Linked DNA regions of Stegostoma tigrinum. The protein of the gene in region 2 interacts with the protein of the main gene of each other region in a pairwise test. Links are inferred from orthologs where the notes say so. Each region holds a gene or a part of one and is shown on either strand. Other genes may lie near its edges.

Region 1 (10,493 bases), on a different chromosome or scaffold from region 2:
AATGGCTGCTGAAAATTACATTACCTTTGGCGTTTAAACACCGTACCATACCAAGTCTCTGGCAAATAACTAAATAAATATAGCCATACAAATATATAAATAAGGAGCAAAAATATGCCTTTGACCCCATGGGATTATTCCATCATACAATAAAATCCTGCCTGATCTATCCGTTTTGAATTTCACAATCCAATCCATGCCCAATTACCTCTGACTCCCCCGTTGGAAGATTATGGGAAGTCAACGGTCCAATGGCACTACCAGTAGACCTTTAATGCAGAGAACCCAGGTAATGTTCTAAGGATTTGGGTGCAAATCCTGCCATGGCAGATGATGTAATTTGAATTCAATAAAAAAATACTAAAATTAAGAGTCTAATGATAATCATGAAACCTTTGCCAATTGTCAGGAAAAGCCCATCTGGCTCACTAAAGTCCTCTCAGAAAGGAAAACATTGTCCCTACTTGGGCTTATCACAATGGATCATTACCCTAAACACCACTCTACTTTGAAGGAACACAATGGGATTTTTAATATCCACCTGAGAGGATTAATGTTTAATGTCACAACAGAAAGACAGCACTCTCAGTTGCGCATTGGAACAGTAGCAATGATTTCTGAGCTTAAACCCTTGAGTTGGATTTGAACCTGGAAACTTGTGATTCAGGGATGACAGTGCTACCCATGGAGTCACAGCTGATACAAGCAGAGTCAGTGAGCAGGGATAGGACACAGAACATTAATAGTGAAAAGTGACAAGACAACCCGAAGTAAAAGCCTGTGGGGACCTGTGAGGGGATGGAGTGGAACCTTGTGCCAAGTGGATCATGAGCCATCAGTGGTTGAGCTGTTTAGCAGAGGTAAACAATGGCTTACAGCAGCAGAATAATATTGCCACAGAGAGACAGAGCACAGGGCTTAGGTAGAGCCAAAGGGTGGGCACATCTGAAGGAGCTGGTCTAAGGAGGCAAGGTGACAAGCCAGTCCCAACCAAACCAATGGAAGATGAAGAGTGGTTCTGAGGGATAGCTGGTGTCAGCAGCTACCGGTTGCAAATGGAAACCAAAAAAGGAAAGAGGATCAGTTACCAAGGCAACAGGATTCAAAGCAGGCTTGCACCCATCGGAAACTTATCAAAGTTTGCTGCATGAGCATTGAAAAATTCCTTTCTGTTGATCGCAACATTGAGTGTGCAAGAGCAAAGCAGCAGAGTGGCAGTCCATAATATCTATTTGCAGATTGCAGACTCTCATTATCCAGAACAAAGGGCCTTCCATTTCCCACAGTAGCTATCTGTGTGCCAAATTCCTATTCTCGGTATATCCCAACACCCACCCTGCCCGCTGCCAGTGTGGCGAACAGGCAGCTTTTCTGAAACAAATGGGAGTTTTGTGTAGAGTTACTATGGTATGTAGGTGAAGCCATGTCTCCCAGCCTCTTAGACTTCCAATTTTCAGCCTGATCACGTGCGGAGAAAACGTTCATGATTGACAACTCCTCATTTTCATACCTTACTATAATATCAATAAACCAATAAACATCAGTGTTCTCCTGCTGTCTTAAGGTGGATGATCAACTGTGATCATATCGAATGGTGGAGCAGATTTGAAGGGCTGAATGGCTCACCCTTGCTCCTGTTTTCTATGTTTCTACATTTTAATATTTCATTTAAAAATACTGTTGCTCTAATTCCTGAAGTACTCTCAAGCTGTGACTTTTTGAAGGGTTGCTGTTTTCTAAACATCTCCATCTTAGTTAATCTATTGCTTATTTTACAAAAAGCCTGTACTGTGTATTGCTCCTATTAGTAAATAAACTACCTATAAATTATAAATCCAAACCCATGACAATGGTTGCTGCAAAGCCTTTGCTTTTGGTTGTACAATCATCCGTGACAGAACAATCTCACATCGGTTGTTCATGAATAGTTCATTAAGAGATAAGTGTATTTTGGCAGGAAAAATTCTGCCTTGACACACGGCCAGGCTTTGCTCCAGTAAAACGGCTCCTTGGGATTACAATCTCCAAAGGATTTAGGGACACACCCAAACATAGGCGGCTCAGTGATTAGCACTGCTGCCTCACAGCACCAGGGGCCCGGATTTGATACCATCCTTGGGCGACTGTCTGTGTGGAGCTTGCACATTCTCCCCGTGTCTGCGTGGGTTTCCTCCAACAGCCCAAAGTGTGCAGGCTGGGTGGATTGGCCATGCTAAATTGCCCACAGTGTTCAGGGATGTGCAGATTGGGTAGGTTATGGGGAGATAGGTCTTGGTGAGATGCTCTGAGGCTTGATGTGGACTTGTTGGGCCAAAGGGCCTGTTTCCACACTGTAGGGATTCTATGAAACAGTTGTGCGTGGGAAGTGGTTAGGGAAGAAGCAGAGAAATAGATTAGACATGGTTGAGGGTTCTGTTGACCATGGTGGCAGGGAATCCTTGGTTGAGGAAAATATTGGACATCTGAAGGCCTCTCCACCCTGCGGAAGGTGGCATCAGACCAGATGCAACATATGGAGAAACTGGGAGAATGAAACAGAGTCCTTACAGAAGGTGAGGGTGTGTTTGGCGAAGGTAACTGCGAGTTAATGGGCTTCTAATGGATAACAGTGACCAGCATATTGTTGAGACCATCTTATTTTTCTATTATTCTTCTTCAATTTTAGTTTGTAACTGAGTTCCAGTTGAACAGCGCTTGTTTTAGAACGTGACAGAAGAAATCCTCCTCATCTCAGTCTTATATTGAGGCTCATATATTCTGAGACTGTGTCCTCTTGTCGTAGGCTCTCCCACAAGGGGAACATCCTCCTAACATTTAACCTGTCAAACCCATTAAGAATTCCAGGTCATCAATTATCTGGATGACATGTTAATAACTGGGAAAACCAATAAAGGCCTAGTGTTTGACTGTTTCTCCAAGGCAGAGATACTCCTTAGGAGGAAAAAATGGATATTCCACACACCCAAGTGTTCTACTTGGGCTACAGAGTCGACAAGATCAGGTTACCTGTTGTAAGATACAGTGAAGGCGATCAAAGGTGCCCTGGCTCACATGTCTGTACCAGAGCTTTCCTTGTGTTGGTGAATTATGACGGAATATTCATGTGCAACCTGGCCTCCATCCTGGCACCCTGACACCTGCTGTTGAAAAGGGGTCAGCCTTGGAAATGGTCTCAGAGTCAAGATGTAGCCTTTAAAGAAGTGAAAAAACAGCTATGGTCATCTAAGGTGTTGGCAACTACAATCCCAAGCAAGATATGGTGCTGACATATGGTATCTCCCCAAAGAGTAACGGGGTGGTGTTGGCTCACAGATGGCCTAATTGAGAGGAAAGCTCAACAGCATATACTTCCTGAAGTCTGGCTGATGCAGAGCGCAAATACGCCCAGATAGAGAAGGCAGGCTTGGCGGTCACCTTTGATGTGAGGAAGTTCCACCAATATTTTTATGAATGTAAATTTGTAATAATAACAGTATACAGCTACTCAAAGAGGACAAGGCTTCAGGTTGAATTCAGTGGTGGGCTCTATTCTATGTACACATAATTATAAGTTGGAACACCATCTAGGAGGACAAGTAGCAAATGCGGATGCCTTCAACCACCTCCTATTGGCAGGTACACCACCAATGATGGTGCCACTACAACAGACTGTTCTGGTTTTAAACTTTCTGGACACCCTTCAGGTTACTGCTGACAATATCCAACTATGAGCACGAAAAGATCCCATCCTAGCAAAACTAAAACAGCTGGTAGCGATGGGGGAAACAAAAGGGCCAATATAACCAGAACTGAAACCTTCTGGACCACACAAGGCCGCATTGTTCTGAGCAGAAATTGCTGCCAGATATTGGCTGAGATCCACCTGTGTTAGCCTGGAGTTTCCAAAATTAAGATGTTGGCGAGATGTTATGTCAAGTGGCCAGGATTGGATGCAGACGTAGCTACAATGGTCCGGCAATGCTCAGAATGCCAAGAAGGATAAAAATTACTGCCAGCAACTCCATCACATTTATGGGAATGGCCATGTAAACAATGAACTCCGTTACATGTCGACTATGCTGGTCCTTTCATAACCCTCTGCTTTTAGTGATTGTGGATGCCTATTCAAAGTGGTTGGACATGCATAGAGTTCATTCATCAAACACTGGGACGATGACTGAAAAGTTAAAAGTATCTTTTGCAATACATGGGCTCCAGGAGGTGTTGGTCACAGATAACAGGCCATTATTTACCAGCAGAGAATTTAAATATTTTCTAAAGGTGAATGGCACTCGGCATGTAAGGAAAGCTCCAAGTCACCTATTATCCAATGCTCTCGTGAAAAGAGCAGTCCAAACCTCGAAGACAGGCTTAAAGAAGCAGCCTACTTTATGCCAAACTGTCCTGTTCCTGTTTGATTATAGGACCACCACTCATGTAAATAAAGGGACAGCTCCAGCAGAGTTGCTTATGGGGTGAAGACTCTGCACCAGTTTACATCTGACTGGGGGCAGGGAGATGAGTTTTGGCTGAGACGCTCGGACCCAAGAGGTGAGCTATGGCCTGGTATACCTTGCCAGTATCTAAGGCAGAGTCAGAGAACCGGGCCTGGAGCAAAAATTCCACAAGCAAAGCTGCAGGAAAAAGAACGGGCCTAAGTCCCAGCACCTAGGGAAGTGGGAGGGGGGAGATGGGTGTAGTGGCTGGAAGTAGGTCAGCCAAGTGGATCTAATTGAATATGTGTTTGCTGATTAGGGCTGCTAACCAGGTTCAATCAGGGAGTCCTGGCTGACAGACATAAATAGAAGCGTCAGGGTTTCTGCTCATTTTAAGAGCCAGCACTGAACTAACTGAGTCAGTGTTTTTTTTAGATTAGATTTCTTACAGTGCAGAAGCAAGCCCTTCGGCCCAAAAAGTCCATACCGCCCCTTGAAGCATCCCACCAAGACCCATCCCCATCCCCCACAACCCTGAACACTACGGACAATTTTGCATGGCTGATCCACCTAGCCTGCACATCTTTGGACTGTGGAAGGAAACCGGAGCACCCGGAGAAAACCCACGCAGACACGGGGAGAATGTGCAAACTCCATACAGACAGTCACCCGAGGCTGGAATTGAACCCACGTCCCTGGCACTGTGAGGCTGCAGTGCTAACCAGAGTTAGGTAACGTGCATGTGTAATTAAAAGGTGACTTGGAGATGGAATGCCAGCATCATGGAATTATCTTATCCCTGGCTCTCGCTCCCTCACTCTCTTCCACCAGTTCACTCATTTTCCTAAAATTTCTCTCCATCTCTCTGCCTCTCCCTCTCTTTCTATCTTTCCATCTCGCTGTCCTTCAAACTTCCTCAGTTTTGTCCTTTTTCTCATCCTGGTTTCTCTCCCCCCCCCCCCCCCCATTCTCTCTCAATCTTCCCATCCCCCAAAGCCCATCCTTCTTCTCTCCTCACCCCCGTATTTCTCTCCACCCTAATCTATTTTTCCACCATGATCTCTCTCTCTCTCTCTCTTCTGCACATCCTCCCATCCCTGCACTCGCTGTCCTCTGTTCCCCTCTTCTCCACGCTCACCTCTCGGGTGCACACCCTCTCCTCCACACCCACCCCAGGCAGTCTCACTACTCCTTGCGCACGCCGCCCCCCCCCCCCCCCCCCGACCCGTCTTCTCCACATTCTCCCAATGGTCTCTCTCCTCTCCCAAACTTTCTGTGCTCTCTCCCCTCTCCATTTCCCACCCCCTGTGTACGGTCCCTCTTTTCCACACGCCTCTCCTCCTCCTTGACACCTGTCCAGGGTCCCCTTCCTTCCACGACCCTCACCATCGCAGCAGACCCTCCCCCGGCCGCCGCCGCCAACATGGTCATCCTCCTCCACAATCATGACTCCCATGGTACCTGTCCTCCACCACCCACCTCCCGGATGATCTCTGTCCTTCACACCAGCCGCCCTTTCACGTGTGCCCCTACGTGGTCTATCTACTCCATGATCCCGCGTCTTGGTTCCCCCACTGAGATCTCTATCCTCCAGCTGGTCCGTCTGTATCCTCCACTGTATCCTCGCCCAACCCTCTCCTTCTATTCCCCCCGTTTTCTGAACCTACTCTCCCCCCTACAACGGTCGGAGAGGGGGGCGGAACAGGGTGGCCTCCAGTAGGTTGTTTGGCATTCCTGTTGATACCAGTTGGCGGGGAAGCTCTATGATTGGCAGGTCAGCCAGCCATCGAGCTAGCGGGAAATAAGAGCGGGAGACGGTGTCATCGATATGGGTGGGATAATATATGATTGACAGTTACCTAAGCGCGTAGGTATGGAGAATGCCTCCGATGGACAGCTATGTGGCCAATGGGAGCTCAGGGGTGGGACTCACCATCAGGCAGTCGGCAGTTGCTGCGCAGGCGCATTGTCGGTGTGCGAGGAAGCGGAGTGAACGGCCATGGCGAATGAGAAATATCTGCCCGAACTTATGGCGGAGAAGGACAGTCTGGACCCGTCCTTCGTCCATGCAAGCAGGTTACTGGCTGCAGGTAAAGAGTAGGGCTCTGCCAGTGCTGTGTGGGCGGGATTTGGAGCTTTAGGTTCAGGTCTGCGATGGCCTCCGGGCCTGTACTTCGTCGCCTCGGCCCCGTGGAGAACAAAGGGCGGAGCGTGGGGGAGGGGTGGGGGTTCGAAACCGATCCCGAAATCACCCCGATTCGTGCTGTTCGTCGTCGTCCCCCCCCCCAATCCCTACTGCTAGTTCCCGATCCTCAATCTCCGGACTATTCTTGCTTTTCTAGATTACTAATTAATGATGTAGACATTGGTGCAAATGACAGAATCTGCAGGCGAAAAGAAATTTTAAAGCAGTGTAATTTGGGGAACGTGATGTAGAACTTCTAAAGGATGTAGACAAGTGGTTCAGTGAGGAGAAATGCGAAGAGTTTTTGTTGGAAGGCCATGGAGTGCACTGTAAAATGAAGGGCAGTCACCTTACGGTGTTTCAGGAGCAGAGAGACCTGCGTGTATACTTGCAGAGGACCTTAAATGTTGCAGACAAGTTGAGAGCTTGGCTAATAAGTCATAATGGTATCCTAGGTTTTTTTTGCAGGGGCATATAGTTGAGGAGCAAGAAGTAGATGTTGAACCAGCATGGGGCACATGTTTGTCTTCCTGGCTGGAGAATTGTCTAGTTCTGCACTTTAGAAGGCATGCAAAGGTACTGCCAAGGGTGCAGAAAAGAGTAATGAGAATGGTCTCAAACAACAGGACTTTCTGCGTGTAAATGTATTGAAGAAATTAAGGCTGTTTATCGTAAAGGAAAGAAGATTGAGAGAACATCTGTTGGACCCCTCCAAATCATTGACATGCTTAAGAGCATTGTGTTCAGTTCTGATCGCCACATTATGGCAAGGATGTGATGGCTTTGCAGAGGGTGCAGCAGAGGTTTACAGGGATGTTACCTGGATTGGAGGATATGAGCTGTAAGGAAAAAGTAGAAAAATTCGGGTGGTTTTCTCTGGAGCAGCAGAGGCTGAGGGGATACTTGATAGAAGTCTGTAAAATTGATTTCGTGGATAAGGTTGATGTTCAGAATCGTGTTTTCCAGAGTTACAATGTCTAATGCTAGAGGCCTGTATTTAAGGGTACGGGGGAATGTTCAAAGGACATGTGAGGGGCAGTTTTTTTTTACACAGTGGTAGCAGTCTCGAATGCACTGCCTGGAGTGGTGTTGAAGGCAGACATGTTGAGGCCATTTAGGAGACTTCTAGGTAGGTGTATGACCATGTGACGAATGGAGGGATATGCAACAAGGGCAGGCAGAAGGGATTAGTTTTATTTGTCATCATGTTCGGCATAGGATCAAGACTGAGAAGGCATAGATTTACATTTTCTTTTGAAAAGCAACGAGAAAAACCTTTCCAAGTAGAAAATGTTTTGGATATGGAATACTCTGCCTGTGTTGTAGGCACGTTCAATTGAGGCATTTAAATGTGAGTTATTTATTTGAAACAGTGAGTTTTGAGAAGATTTGTAGCTCAGGTTGAGGTTCTGGATGTGGGTTTGCTCGCTGAGCTGGAAGGGTGGTTTTCAGACGTTTCGTCACCATTCTAGGTACCATCATCAGTGAGCCTCCGAAACGCTGTGTTACGTCCTGCTTTCTATTTATCTGTTTAGGTTTCCTTGGGTTGGTGATGTCATTTCCTGTGTTGGTGATGTCATTTCCTGTTTCTTGAAGCAGTGAGCAGGGTTGCAAGGAGATGGCACAGTGCAATTCTCATTCATAGAGCCAGGGCTGACATGGTTGGGTAAATGCTGTGTCTTGCAGTCTAGACATGTCGTGTGGACTTGGGACATTATCGTTTGAGAATATAAAACTCATGATTGTGGTATAGATGACTACTTCTTAACCAGTGCTGTAATGCTTTGAGGTTTGAAACAAACAAAAATACATTGCTGGCAAAACACAGCATGTCTGACAGCATTTGTGGAGAGAAAACGGAGTCAATGTTTTGAGTTATATGACACTTACTGCGGTTATTTGTGGTATATTCTATCTTAACAAACGAACTAAGTCCAAAGGTATACCATAAATTATGGGATGAGGGCATTGAAGGCTCGGGTGTATTTATTGCCCATCCCTCAATGCCCAGCGGGCGGTTCAGAGTTGGCCACATTGCTGTGGTTCTGGAGTCACGTAGTCCAGACCAGGTAAGAATGGCACTTTGTTTCCCGTAAGGGCATTAGTGAACCAAATGGGTTTTTATGACAATTGACAATGGATTCTGTAATTCCAGACATTTATTGAATTCAAATTCCACAATCTGCCGTGGCAGGATTTGAATCTGGATCCCCAGAACGTAATCTAGGTCTCTGGATTAACAGTCTAGCGATAATACCTCTAGGTCACTGCCTCCCCAGTGTATTTCATATAATCTAAAATTGTTTGTTTTTTTTTAAATGAATTTTAATTGTATGAGGTTTCTGTTGACAGTGTTTTTATTTAACTGTGTTTATTGGCTAATCGGAAGGATTTAGTTGTTGCTTTAGTGTCTGCCGCTACTTGGGTTGAGTTCAAATCCCTCTCCAGGACTGAGACATTGAAATAGTCTACTGCTATAGTATAGTATTGAACAGTACTGGAGTCATTGTCTTTAGGAGGTGGTAAACTGAGGCTTCTTCTGGTCCCTCGGGTAGATGCTAGTTTGACTATTTTTAAGGTTTCAATGGTAGCCATGATGTGGAGGTGCTGGTTTTGGACTGGGTGCATAAGATAAAAATCATACAACACCTATATAAACTATAATCTGTGATTTTTGACTGTTTTGAAGATCAGGGGTGTTGTACCAAATGCTAATATGTAACCTTCCATTAATGTCACAAACCGTCAACCAGCACTATATCATTATTGCTGTTTGTGGAGTTGATATGCACGTTAGCAGTGAATCTCTTTGGGATATATTGGGTTTTACAATGTGATAGAGAAATGTAAACCTTTCTGGAGACTGGTAATTAGGATTTGAGTTAAAATGTTAGCTAGAAATTGTTTTAAACAGAAACTGCAGGAACTCCACGTTAAATGAGAATCTGTTCTGTCCTTGGTTATTGCTTTAGATTGCATTAATTTGCAGACGCTTCAGTGAGTTGACAGGTATATTCTGTGCAGCAGGTGTGGGTATTAAGTTTGGGTAAAGATATATCTTTTAACTTAATATGTGATTCTAGAAGTGCCTAGAAACACAGAGTGGGAATTTGTGTGGTGTCTGAAGAAATGTGTAGTAGCTATCATGCAGGAAGAATGAATAATACAGTGTAAGAATAAATATTTGCGGTTTTATTTTTCAGAAGTTTCATGTGTGGTGACTTTGCTTGGCACTTTACCAAGCTTCAGTGCAAGTTTGTGCCTTCAGAGTTTAAAGTAGATAAATGATCAAAGCTAGAGCATAAATATAAACATAGAAGGGGCAAGGCTTTATACAAAGGTGAACTAGAGATCCAGTGCAAGATTTAAAAGCCAGTACACTGTCTTGCATTCCTGGGACTGTGGGAATGTCATTAATTTTCAATGTCACATTAAACGTTGGTGATGTGATGAGTTTATGCTGTGTTGCAGACCAACATAGGCTTTCAGCTAGAGTGAATTCATTTCTAATTGTAAACACCTAGTCAGTGCAGTAATCAGGAGACTATTTTAATGTTGTAACTGTATAGTGATCTTACATCTATTGAAGTAATCATGTTGTCTAGGGCAGGAAGTCTTCTGGTTCTTGCATGATTTGTGTCAAATTTATATCTCAAGTCATGTGTGAAAATACCACTTCAAATATTTGTGCCCTGTGAGAACTGAAGTTTGCTGTAACTGTATTGGGCACTGATTAAAGAGAATGGATCTTGTGAAAATTGGGGAATGTTTAACAGCTAGCTATATTCTCTGCATTAAATTACATGAAATTGTTTGTTTTTCTTCTGTTTCCTGGGGTGTGTGTTCATTTTGGGCTGCTGCAGAACAGGTTGTTTCACTAGCTTTTTGCTTAT
Region 2 (10,609 bases):
CCTCTCAGGTCGCTTTTAAACCTTTCCCTGCTCTGAGCAAAAGACCTTTGCTATTTACCTTTACCTATGCACCTCATGATTTTTTAAACCTCAATAAGGATACTCGTGAGCCTCCTGTGCTCCAAGGAAACAAGTCCCAGCCTCTCCATACAATCCAAACCCTCCAGCCCTGGTAACATTCTTGTTTTATGCACCCTTTCCATCTGTATCTATTTACCCTCCCCCAGTCAAGATAAATTCCACATTTTCTATGATGCTGTCAGTTCTGAAGAAGGGTCATTGGACCTGAAATATTAACTCTGCCTGTCTCTCTGCAGATGCTGCAGACCTGCTGAGTTTTTTTCACCAAGTTCTGCTTTTGTCAGGTTAGCTCAGTTGGCTGGGTAGCTGTTCAGTGATGCCAATAACATTGCTTCAATTCCAGTATTTGCTGAAGTTACCATGAAAGATTCTCCTCTCAACCCCTCCCCTTTCCGAAAATGTTATGACCCCCCCATTAAACCACCATCAGTCATTTTTCTCCCTCTAAATAGAGTGTGGGACATTGGCAACTTTTAGTCAAATCAATACATTTGGATAAAGGTAGGAGAAAAAAAATCAAAGACTATAAGCAGAAAAGATGGGGAAACAATAACTCCTACTAAAATGGTTAGAATTTTTTAAAATGGAAGTTTGCCTCCTCTTGATCATTTCTCTACTTTTTTCCCTAGAGATGGGTTCAGAAGTGCAAATCCGTCAGTTTCTGATTTCAATCAGTAATTAAAATGTTGATTGTTTTTTGTCAAATCTTAAATCATAGGTAACTTGACCCCTTGCATGAGCATAGCAAGGATGAATTACCACAACTTCAGGCGGTTACATGGAGCCCAGGTGCTGTATATAATCAGGGCATTTGTAGATGACACAAAAGGTAATCCTCTGGTAAATAGTGAAGAGGAAAGCCTTAGACCACAGGACAATATAGATGGGCTGAACAGTTGTGAATGAAATTTAATACTGAAAACTTTGAGATGATGCTTTTGGGAGGAACAACAAGGCAAGGGATGCAGGTTGAATGTAGAATCGTAGGAAGTACAGAGGATCAGAAGGACCTTGGTATGCATGTCCCTAAATCCTTGATGGCAGCAGGTAGATAGATAAGGTGGTGTAGGGGGAAAGTGGGACACTTGCCTTTATTAGTCAAGGCATTGTACATAAAAGCAAGGAGGTTATGTCAATTCAGAGATAGTAGAAACTGCTGATGCTGGAGAATCTGAGATAACCAGGTGTAGAGCTGGATGAACACAGCAGGCCAAGCAGCATCAGAGGAGCAGGAAAGCTGACGTTTCAGGTCTGGACCCATTTCTGAAGAAGCTCCTCTGATGCTGCTGGGCCTGCTGTATTCATCCAGCTCTACACCTTGTTTTCTGAGGTTATGTCAAAGCTGTTTATAATGTTAGTTGAGCCATGGCTGGAGTACAATGTGCAGTTATGATGACCATTCTAGAGGATAATTACACAATAGAGACATAAAAGAAATTCAGCAGGATGTTGTCTGGGGTGGAGTGAAAAGGCTGAGGTGAGATCTGATTGAGTTCTGAGAGGCAAAGACATCATAGATAGGGATAAACTTTTCCTCTCATTGGAGGGGTAAATAATTAGGGCCACAGATTTAAGATAGGAAACAGAAGGTTTAGAGCGGTTTTGAAGAAAATTTTTTTCATCTAGAGGATTTTGGGTGTCTGGAACTCTCTGCTTGAAAGAATGGTAGAGGCTGAAACCCTCAGAATATTTAAGTAGTTTTTAGATGAACCCCACTTGAAACACCATAGCAGACAAGACCAAGTGCTGTAAAATGGGATTAGAATATATGAATGTTTAATGACCAGCTGTACACACTTTCCAAGCTGTAAAGATTCTATGACACATATGTTGAACTAGGATTAGAAAGGCAACTTACTATCAAAATTAAGAGAAACTTCAGAGTGCTTTTGTGCAGAGATATCTGTTGCAGAAAACAATATGCAGGTACAGCAAGTAATAAGGAAGGCAAGTAGAATTTTGCCATGTATTGCTAAAGGCAAAGAGTATAATAATAGAGAACTGTTGCTACATTACAAGACATTAGTCAGACTGCACCTGGAGTATTGTGTGCAATTTGGTCCTCTTTCTTGAGGGGAGATGTGATTGTATTAGAGACAGTTCAATGGAAGTTCGTTGGATTGATTCCACAGAAGAAAGTCTTAGGAAGAGAGATTGAGCAGTTTAGGCCTAAATTATCCAGAGTTTTAAAAAAATAACAGGTAGTCTAATTCAGATATATAAGATATTAAAGGGGATTTACAAAATAGACACAGAAAGGATGTTTCCTCATGGCATAATTTAGAATGAGAGGTCATAATTTTAGTATAATGAATAACAGATTTAACACAGAAATGAGGAGACATTACTTTTCCCAAAGGACCATGAATCTGTGGAATTCACTATCCCAGAATTAGATTGATGCTGTAACATTCAACAAATTTAAAGAGGATGTAAACAGATTTTTATTTAGTTATGGGTTGAAGTGTTCTGGAGAGCAGGCCGCAAAGTGAAGTTGAGGCTGAAATAAAATCAGCCATGATTGTATCAAATCCTTGCCTACTCCTGCTTCTAGTTCTTATGTGCTCATGTTCTGGCAACGTCAACCTTAACAGTGTGACGTGAATTGCACTGCACTGCACTAGGCAATCTTGTAGTCGGTTGGCTCACTGAACTGGTTTGTTGTTTCGTAGACGTTTCATTACCCTGCTGGGTAATATCATCAGTGCAGCATCCAATGAAGCGCCCTTGTGTTTCCCCCCCTGTTATGTGAACTGTGGAGTTCATTAAGCTGGATTACGAAATGTCTGCGAAACAACGAACCAACTCGGTGAGCCAACCAACTACATCCACAACCCAAGCTCCAAATCTACTTGAAAACGTAGCAATCTTGTTGAATTCCATGTTAAATATTAGAGCTGCCCACTGCTTCTTACATTTTACCTTGCTTCAGATTACTAAATCATGTTTAAACCTTTTCCAAGTAGACATTAAAGCAAGTATTGACTGCAGTTTATGGTGTAAAAGTGAACTGTGGTTGCTCAGTATACAATGCATATTTGTATGATTTGAACTGTTAATTTGGGAAATGGGTCTTTTTTTGAATTGCAGATGGTTGGTTTCATTGTGTAGTATTATCATTGAATCCCCACTTTTCCCATGACAACTTATTGTCCTTTTTCAGATGGGCTCAACTTTGTGCATCTATCTCTACATGTTTAATGAGATGGCCTGAAGAGGTTAGCTAACTTAAGTAACAAATTGTATGAAAGTATTGTTGCAATATGTATTAATTTTGTAGTCTTGCCAGATGTACAGATGCATCTGACCTACTAAAGTTTTTGCTGCTGTTTTGTTTTGCTTTGCTTCTGATACTCCCTTCCCTGAACTTCTGTAATTTTTCACACTGACTTTGTAATGTTGCTGCTGGCCAGTGTCCTCCCTTTCGGAGTACTGCCCTCTTCTGATGTGTTTTAATCTCTATACATGCTGCTTTAGTCTCTGCACTTTTTTAAAAATACTTTTTCAAAACTTGTTTACTCAATGCTAACTCAGTTTGTGACTTATTTTTCATTGATACACAGTTCTTTCTTTGACTTGCTAATTCTCACTTTGCACACTTCTTTATTTGACACACTCAATTTACTTGGAGGAGCATATTTTCTTTAGCATTGCAGTCTCGCTGTGAACTGATCTTAGCATTCAGAGTCACAGAGATGTATGGCATGGAAAGAGACCCTTCGGTTCAAATCATTCATGCTGATCAGATATCCCAAATTAATCAAGTCTCGTATATTGTAACAGCCTCTGTCACTTCTTATGACAGCTCATACCATCACACATACCACCCTTTGTGTGAAAAAGTTGCACTTCAGGTCCCTTTTATGCCTTTTGCCTCTCAACATAAATCTGTGCCCTCTAGATTTGGACTCCCTAACCTCGGAAAAGACCTTGGCTATGCACCCTATCCACGGCCTCATGATTTTATAAACGTCTTCAAGGTCACCCCTCAGCCTCCGACAGTCCAGGGAAAATAGCCCCAGCCTATTCAGCTCCTCCCTATAATTCAAACCCTCCAATCCCGGCAGTATCCTTGTAAGTCCTTTCTGCACCCATGCGAATTTAGCAACATCTTTCCTATAGCATGGGGACCAGAATTGAATGCAATTCTCCAAAAGTGGCTTAACCAATGTCCTGTAAATTTCTTTTTAAATGTTACTTTTTGTGCTGTGTCTTTTGTTTTCCTGCATTGCTGTCATTGGGCATTATTATTATTCACATCAGTTATGCATTGTCCAAGCAGCCAAATGCTTTTAGCCTATATTTGTTTAGACAGGCAGGTAGAACGATGAGAAAATTGTATAGGTAGTGTCTTATAGTCATACAGCACAGGAACAGACCCTTCAGTCCAACTTGTCTGCATCAACCAGATATTCCAATCTGACCCAGTCCCTTTGCCATCATTTGGCCCATTTCCCTCTACACCCTTCTTATTCATATAACTATCCAGATGCCTTTTAAATATTATCATTGTACCAGCCTTCACCACTTCCTCTGGCAGCGTGTTTCAAATGTTACCCCTCAGGTCCTTTTTAAATCTTTCTCCTCTCGCCTTAGACTTATGCCCTCTAGTTTTGGACTCCCCCATCTAGAAAAAAGACCTTGTCTATTCATCCTATCCATGCTGCTCATGATTTTATAAACTTGTATAAAGTCACTCCACAACCCAAGGAAACCTAACCAGATAAATAGAAAGCGGGACATAACACCAGCGCTTTGTCGGAGGCTCACTGATGATGTTACCTAGAATGGTGACGAAACGTCTGAAAACTAACCTTCCAGCTCAGCGAGCAAACTCACATCCAGAACCTCAACCTGAGCTACAAATCTTCTCAAAACTCGCTATCACTCCACAACCTCTGACACTCCAGGGATTTGGTATGCTTACCTTTATTGGTCAGTGCATTGAGTATTGGAATTGAGAGGTCATGTTGTGGCTCTACAGGACATTGGTTTGACCACTTTTGGAGTATTGCATGCAATTCTGGTCTCTCTCCTGTAGAAAGAATGTTGTGAAACTTGGAAGGGTTCAGAAAATGCGTACGAGGATATAGCTAGGGTCAGAGTGTTTGAGCTATAGGGAGAAGTTGAATAGGCTGGGGCTATTTTTCCTGGAATGTCAGAGACTGAAGGGTGACAATATAAAGGCTTATGAAATCATGAGGTAAGTAGATAGGGTAAATAGGCAAGGTCTTTTCCTGGGATTGGGGGATTCCAAAGCTAGACCTCTAGAGGGCAGAGGTATAAAGTCACGTAGGAAAGATATAAAAGGGTCCTAAGGGGCAGCCTTTTCATGCAGAGACTGGTGTGTGTATGGAATGAGCTGCCAGAGGAACTGGTGGAGGCTGGTATGATTACAATATTTAACAGACATCTGAATGGGTATATAAATAGGAAGTTTAGAGGATGTGAGCCACATGCTGGCAAATGGGATTAGATTTATATAGGATGTCTGGTCAACATGGACGATTCTAGTTCTGTGCTGTATATCTCTATGACAACATTCAACTTCTCCCCAGAGCTCAAACCCTCCAGTCCTACCAACATCCTGGTAAATCATTTTTGCATCCTCTCACGTTCAACAACATCCTTCCTATATTTCAGTGTTTTGTAGTGAGGTTACAGTGATAAGGGGTGAGGTCATGGAGGGATTTGAAAACAGGATGCAAATTTTAAAATTCAACTTTTGCAAAACTGGGGACCAGTGTAGGCTGACCAGCAATGGGCATTATTCTTGAGTGGAAGTTCATGCAAGACAGGACAGAGGCATTAATGTTTTGGAATATCTCAAGATTATGAATTGTAGGTGGGGAGGTGATGGTTTAGTGGTATTATTGCTCAACCGTCAACCCAGAGAGCTAGGTAACGTTCTGGGGACCTGGGTTTGAATCCCACCATAGCAGATGGTGGTATTAGAATTCAATTAAAAAAATCTAGAATGGAGAGTCTAACGATGACCACGAATCCATTTTCGATTGTTGGGGATAAAAAAAACTCATCTGATTCACTGACGTCCTTTAGAGAAGGGAAGTGCCGGCATGTGACACCAGACCCAAGGCGATGTGGTTGACTCTCAACAGCCCTCTGAGCAATTAGGGCTGGGCAATGAATGGGGCAATAAATGAATGCCAGAAAAACAGCATGAGAGGCCAGCCAGAAGTCTCTCTCCCTGTCTCCTCCCTCTGTTTTCTTTCTATCTCCACACGCCTATTCTCTGTATCTCCTCCCATTGCCCCCAACCTCTCGTTATCTCCTCCCCAGCCCCGTCTCTCTCTCTCTGTCCCGCCCACCCCCATCTGTTTGTCTGTATCTCCTTCCCCCTCCTCCTGTTTCTGTGCTGAGTTCTCTTCCTGTCTCTCTGGTTGTCAGCGCCATGTTACTGTTCTGACCGCGGATCAGCAACAAGTCTCCGGAGGAGGGCCGGACAGGAGCCTGCGGGAAGAGGTGAGTGAGACTGGGCACCGGCGCCGGGCCGGAGGGGAGGCTGTGCAGGGAGACCCCGGGGCCGGAGGCTGCCTGCCCGGACACTCCAGGCCTCAGTTTCCCCCTCCCCCGGACGGACCGGACCGTCACCGTCCGGCAGGTGTCGGGGACAGTGACCGTCCTCGGGCCCGACGAAACCACTCCGTATGGCGGATTCCAGCCTTGGATCGTTATCTGGGGCTGGGAATTAAAGGGCAACGACTGGGGCTTGGTTTGTGTATGAACAAGAAATGGTTATTGTTTGGGGTGTACGGGAATAAGTTCAGGCTTGTCATTTCAGTCTGTTTTCTGTTTTGACATTCACAAACGGGCAGCTTGGTCACTCAAGTTCACCGCAGAATCGGCGAGGCTGGTCGTTTTCCCAGGCTGGCCAGTGGCTCAGTATCTTAACCAGCTGGTCAATTTCCTTACAGTATTGTACCTTACCAGATTAGTGAGGACTTAGTACCATTTAAACACTGATCGTACATGTTGAAATGCTACAGTCAGCATACATGAATATTTCAAAATTTGGTATATTTGTATTGATTTTTAGAAAATATGAGCATTCCTGGGCAACATTGTTAGGAAAATGCAGACAGGTTTCTTGGTCACGGATCTTGTTCCATCAGAACAGGATAATTATGAGCCCTGAATTCAAGTCCCACGTGCTACAGAAGTGTGTAATAACATCTCTGAACAGGTTGATTAAAAATATCTACATCTGTGGCCACAAGGGGTCCTGTGGCATTTGACAGTGTCCTTACCTCTGGGACAGAAGGTTCAAGTCCTGCCTGTCCTGGGGGTTTGTCACAACATGTCTGAACAGGATGATTAGAAATAACTACACCTGTGTCCTCAAAGATGGGATCAGACTTGGCTGTGATGCATCACCTGTCCTTTAAGATGTCCCTCCATCCATCCATCTGCAAGGTTGGCATGTAGTATGTGGTCACTCATTTTCTGGCCTTACATGTGATGGAATATCCCCTCGTGTTTTGCTGGAGGTTCCACCACGTGATGAAACTGGCAGTTTTTTGTCATATTAGAAAAGTTCGGACATTTGAAGTCAAGTACCTTGGCTTCAACTATATAGTTTAAAAGTACCTTTTGTTATTAAATACCCATTTCTCACTGTTTATAGTGTAGGAATTTAGAATCCAAGATAGAGAATTCTTAAGAGTGGGAGTAACCGGTCATATATATTGTATTATTAAATTAACTAACCCTGTGAACTGCAAAATTTCTCCCCCTGCTATTTTGTGTGGATTTTCCCAAGTGAAAACATGGAAAAAGTGTCAAATGCTAAAAAAGGCATTGCTGAGCCTTTATTTCTATTTTGAAGTAGCTTACAGTAAGGCTGCCAGCAGCAGTTTTTCTGTGAACAATCACGATATGGAATCAATACAAATTGTGTTTTGTGACGTAGACAATACCTGCCCAGTGGAGGAAGTCTTGTGACATCATGAATTGAAATTTTATTTTCAGTGGCTTAACATCCTGTTTCAAATCCTGAATCTGGCTGAGTTTGTAATATCAGATATTTCCCTATAACCATGATAACCTGAAAGAATGATCGCCATTGTTCAGTAAATTATATAGAGTTCTCTGTGACGGTGTAGAATTGACTTAATCCACTCAACTGTCGTGGCAGTAGGTTAGTTGGAGCTGTCTATGGCTGTTGAATCGTTGTGGGAGGGGCAGGGTTGGAATGCTGGTAAGTTTTCAAGTGCTACTGATTTGGATATTTTGAGTTGTTAAAGTACCAATTAATTGACTCGAATGAGATTTGTAATGTACTAATGAAATTAGGCCTGTAGGTGTCTGAAACTGTAAGTCTAAAGTTGAGCTTGTTTTCTTAAAAATCATGTAAAATCTGAAAATTAGCCTTTTAAAGTGACTTCAAAGCTATTATTTTTCAATAATAATAACATAGCACAAATTGCAATATAAAACTCGTGGATAGAGTAATGATTGGTATTGGCAGAACACAAGATAATTTTGGCTGGATGGCTGATTTGCGATGCACTGTGATGCCAACAGCATTGGTTCAGCTCCCACACTGGCTGACGTTACCGTGAGCAATTCTGCTTCTCGACCTCTCCCTTCATCTGAGACATGCTGACCCTCTGGTTAAATCACCACCAGTCGTCTCTCCCTACTGAGATAATCCTATTGCCTGGTAGGACGACAGCAACTTTATGTTTGCTTGATTTAGACATTGGCAGGAATAATGGAATGTGTACACTAAAACAATGTCAACTGCTCAATCTTCCACAATTTTCCTTTGGTCAAGTAAAGTCAACCAAAACTACTTCACTGTCTACCATTCGATTCTTCATTACATGACTGAGCACTTTGCCAGTGTTTTGAAATTGTACGAAAAAAATTCACTATTTAAGTTGAGATAATCTGCTTAAATTCTTGTTTGAGGTTCTCGAAGATAAGGTTTGATTTTACTTCATGAATGTTGATCTTTGCAGATTCAATTTTACTGTCCTCATAATAGGCTCATGACACTTATTTATGCATTAAAATTCACTTTTGTTTCATTCATATCTCTCTTCTAGCTCTCGATTCAATCCCGCTTTCACCTGAATTCCCTGTACTGGATTCTGTATTGAATCCTATTTTTACTTATTTCCTTTTCAGCTTTTATGCTAAGTTCTCAGTTGTTCAATTTGATTGATTAATGAGCTACCCATCTGCTGGCTCTGTTCACCTACATCTGAGGTGGTCTGCTTGCTTCACTATGCTGTTATCACCTTACTTATTCAATATTATATAAAGAAAGGTGTAAAGTTAGACTAATATCAGGTGTCATTGGGTGTTCGGGTACTAGAAGATTTGTTCCATACTACCATATGTATGACGAAAGGATTTGCATAATTGGTCTTACAAGGATTATTTTTGGAAAGATATGCTGTGATATTCATTAGAATTTGTATGCTACACCAATTCCATGTCTTTCACTGTTCCATTGTCTGTTACAACTTTTCAAAAAAGTTAATGTTCCGGGATAGTACGGTTGGTGTCTCAAATATGTTTGCCTCGGTTCTATATGGCAATATATTTTGTTATAATGTCCATCTGTCATGCAACAGATATTGTGTGTCAGATTCCATACTTTATTACAAGTAATACACCTTTAAGACAAACAAAATAAGCTGTTGACCTGAAAATTTGTTCATGCTCAGAGATAATGGGAACTGCAGATGCTGGAAAATCCAAGATAACAAAGTGTGGGGCTGGATGAACACAGCAGGCCAAGCCTCATCTTAGGAGCACAAAAGCTGACGTTTTTGTGTCCTAGTCCTCACATACCACCCTACCAACCTCCGGATACAACACATCATCCTTCGACACTTCCGCCATCTACAATCCGACCCCACCACTAAAGACGTTTCTCCCACCCCACCCTTGTCTGCCTTCCGGAGAGACCACTCTCTCCGCGACTCCCTTGTCCGCTCCACACTCCCCTCCAACCCCACCACACCCGGCACTTTCCCCTGCAACCGCAGGAAGTGCTACACTTGCCCCCACACCACCCACCTCACCCCATCCCAGGCCCCAAGATTACTTTCCACATCAAGCAGATTTTCACCATGCTCATCTGCCAATGTGGTATACTGCATCCACTGTACATGGTGTGGCTACCTCTACATTGGGGAAACCAAACGTAGCCTTATGGACTGCTTTGCAGAACACCTACGCTCGGTTCGCAGTAAACCACTGCACCTCCCAGTTGCGAACCATTTCAACTCCCCCTCCCATTCCTTAGATGACATGACCATCCTGGGCCTCCTGCAGTGCCACAATGATGCCACCCAAGGTTGCAGGAACAGCAACTCATATTCCACTTGGAACCCTGCAGCCCAATGGTATCAATGTGGATTTCACCAGCTTCAAAATCTCCCCCCACTGCATCACAAAACCAGCCCAGCTCATCCCCGCCTCCCTATCCTGTCGTTCCTCTCACCTATCCCCTCCTCCCACCACAAGCCTCCCCTCCGTTTCCTACCTACTA

What was found. The genes of interacting proteins can lie anywhere in the genome.
Region 1: the proteins of intersectin-2-like (region 2) and KH domain-containing, RNA-binding, signal transduction-associated protein 1-like interact in a two-hybrid assay, tested with the Homo sapiens proteins (2 studies listed by BioGRID and IntAct, with this or other methods). The link is inferred for Stegostoma tigrinum from reciprocal best matches to the Homo sapiens genes ITSN2 and KHDRBS1.

Annotation. Positions count from the first base shown.
Region 1 is NC_081377.1:836,780-847,272, forward strand, and holds the start of KH domain-containing, RNA-binding, signal transduction-associated protein 1-like, read left to right. Parts: upstream 1-6,370; 5' UTR 6,371-6,414; coding exon 6,415-6,505; intron 6,506-10,493. UniProt on the Homo sapiens protein: Recruited and tyrosine phosphorylated by several receptor systems, for example the T-cell, leptin and insulin receptors. Once phosphorylated, functions as an adapter protein in signal transduction cascades by binding to SH2 and SH3 domain-containing proteins.
Region 2 is NC_081357.1:74,089,409-74,100,017, forward strand, and holds the start of intersectin-2-like, read left to right. Parts: upstream 1-6,409; 5' UTR 6,410-6,564; intron 6,565-10,609.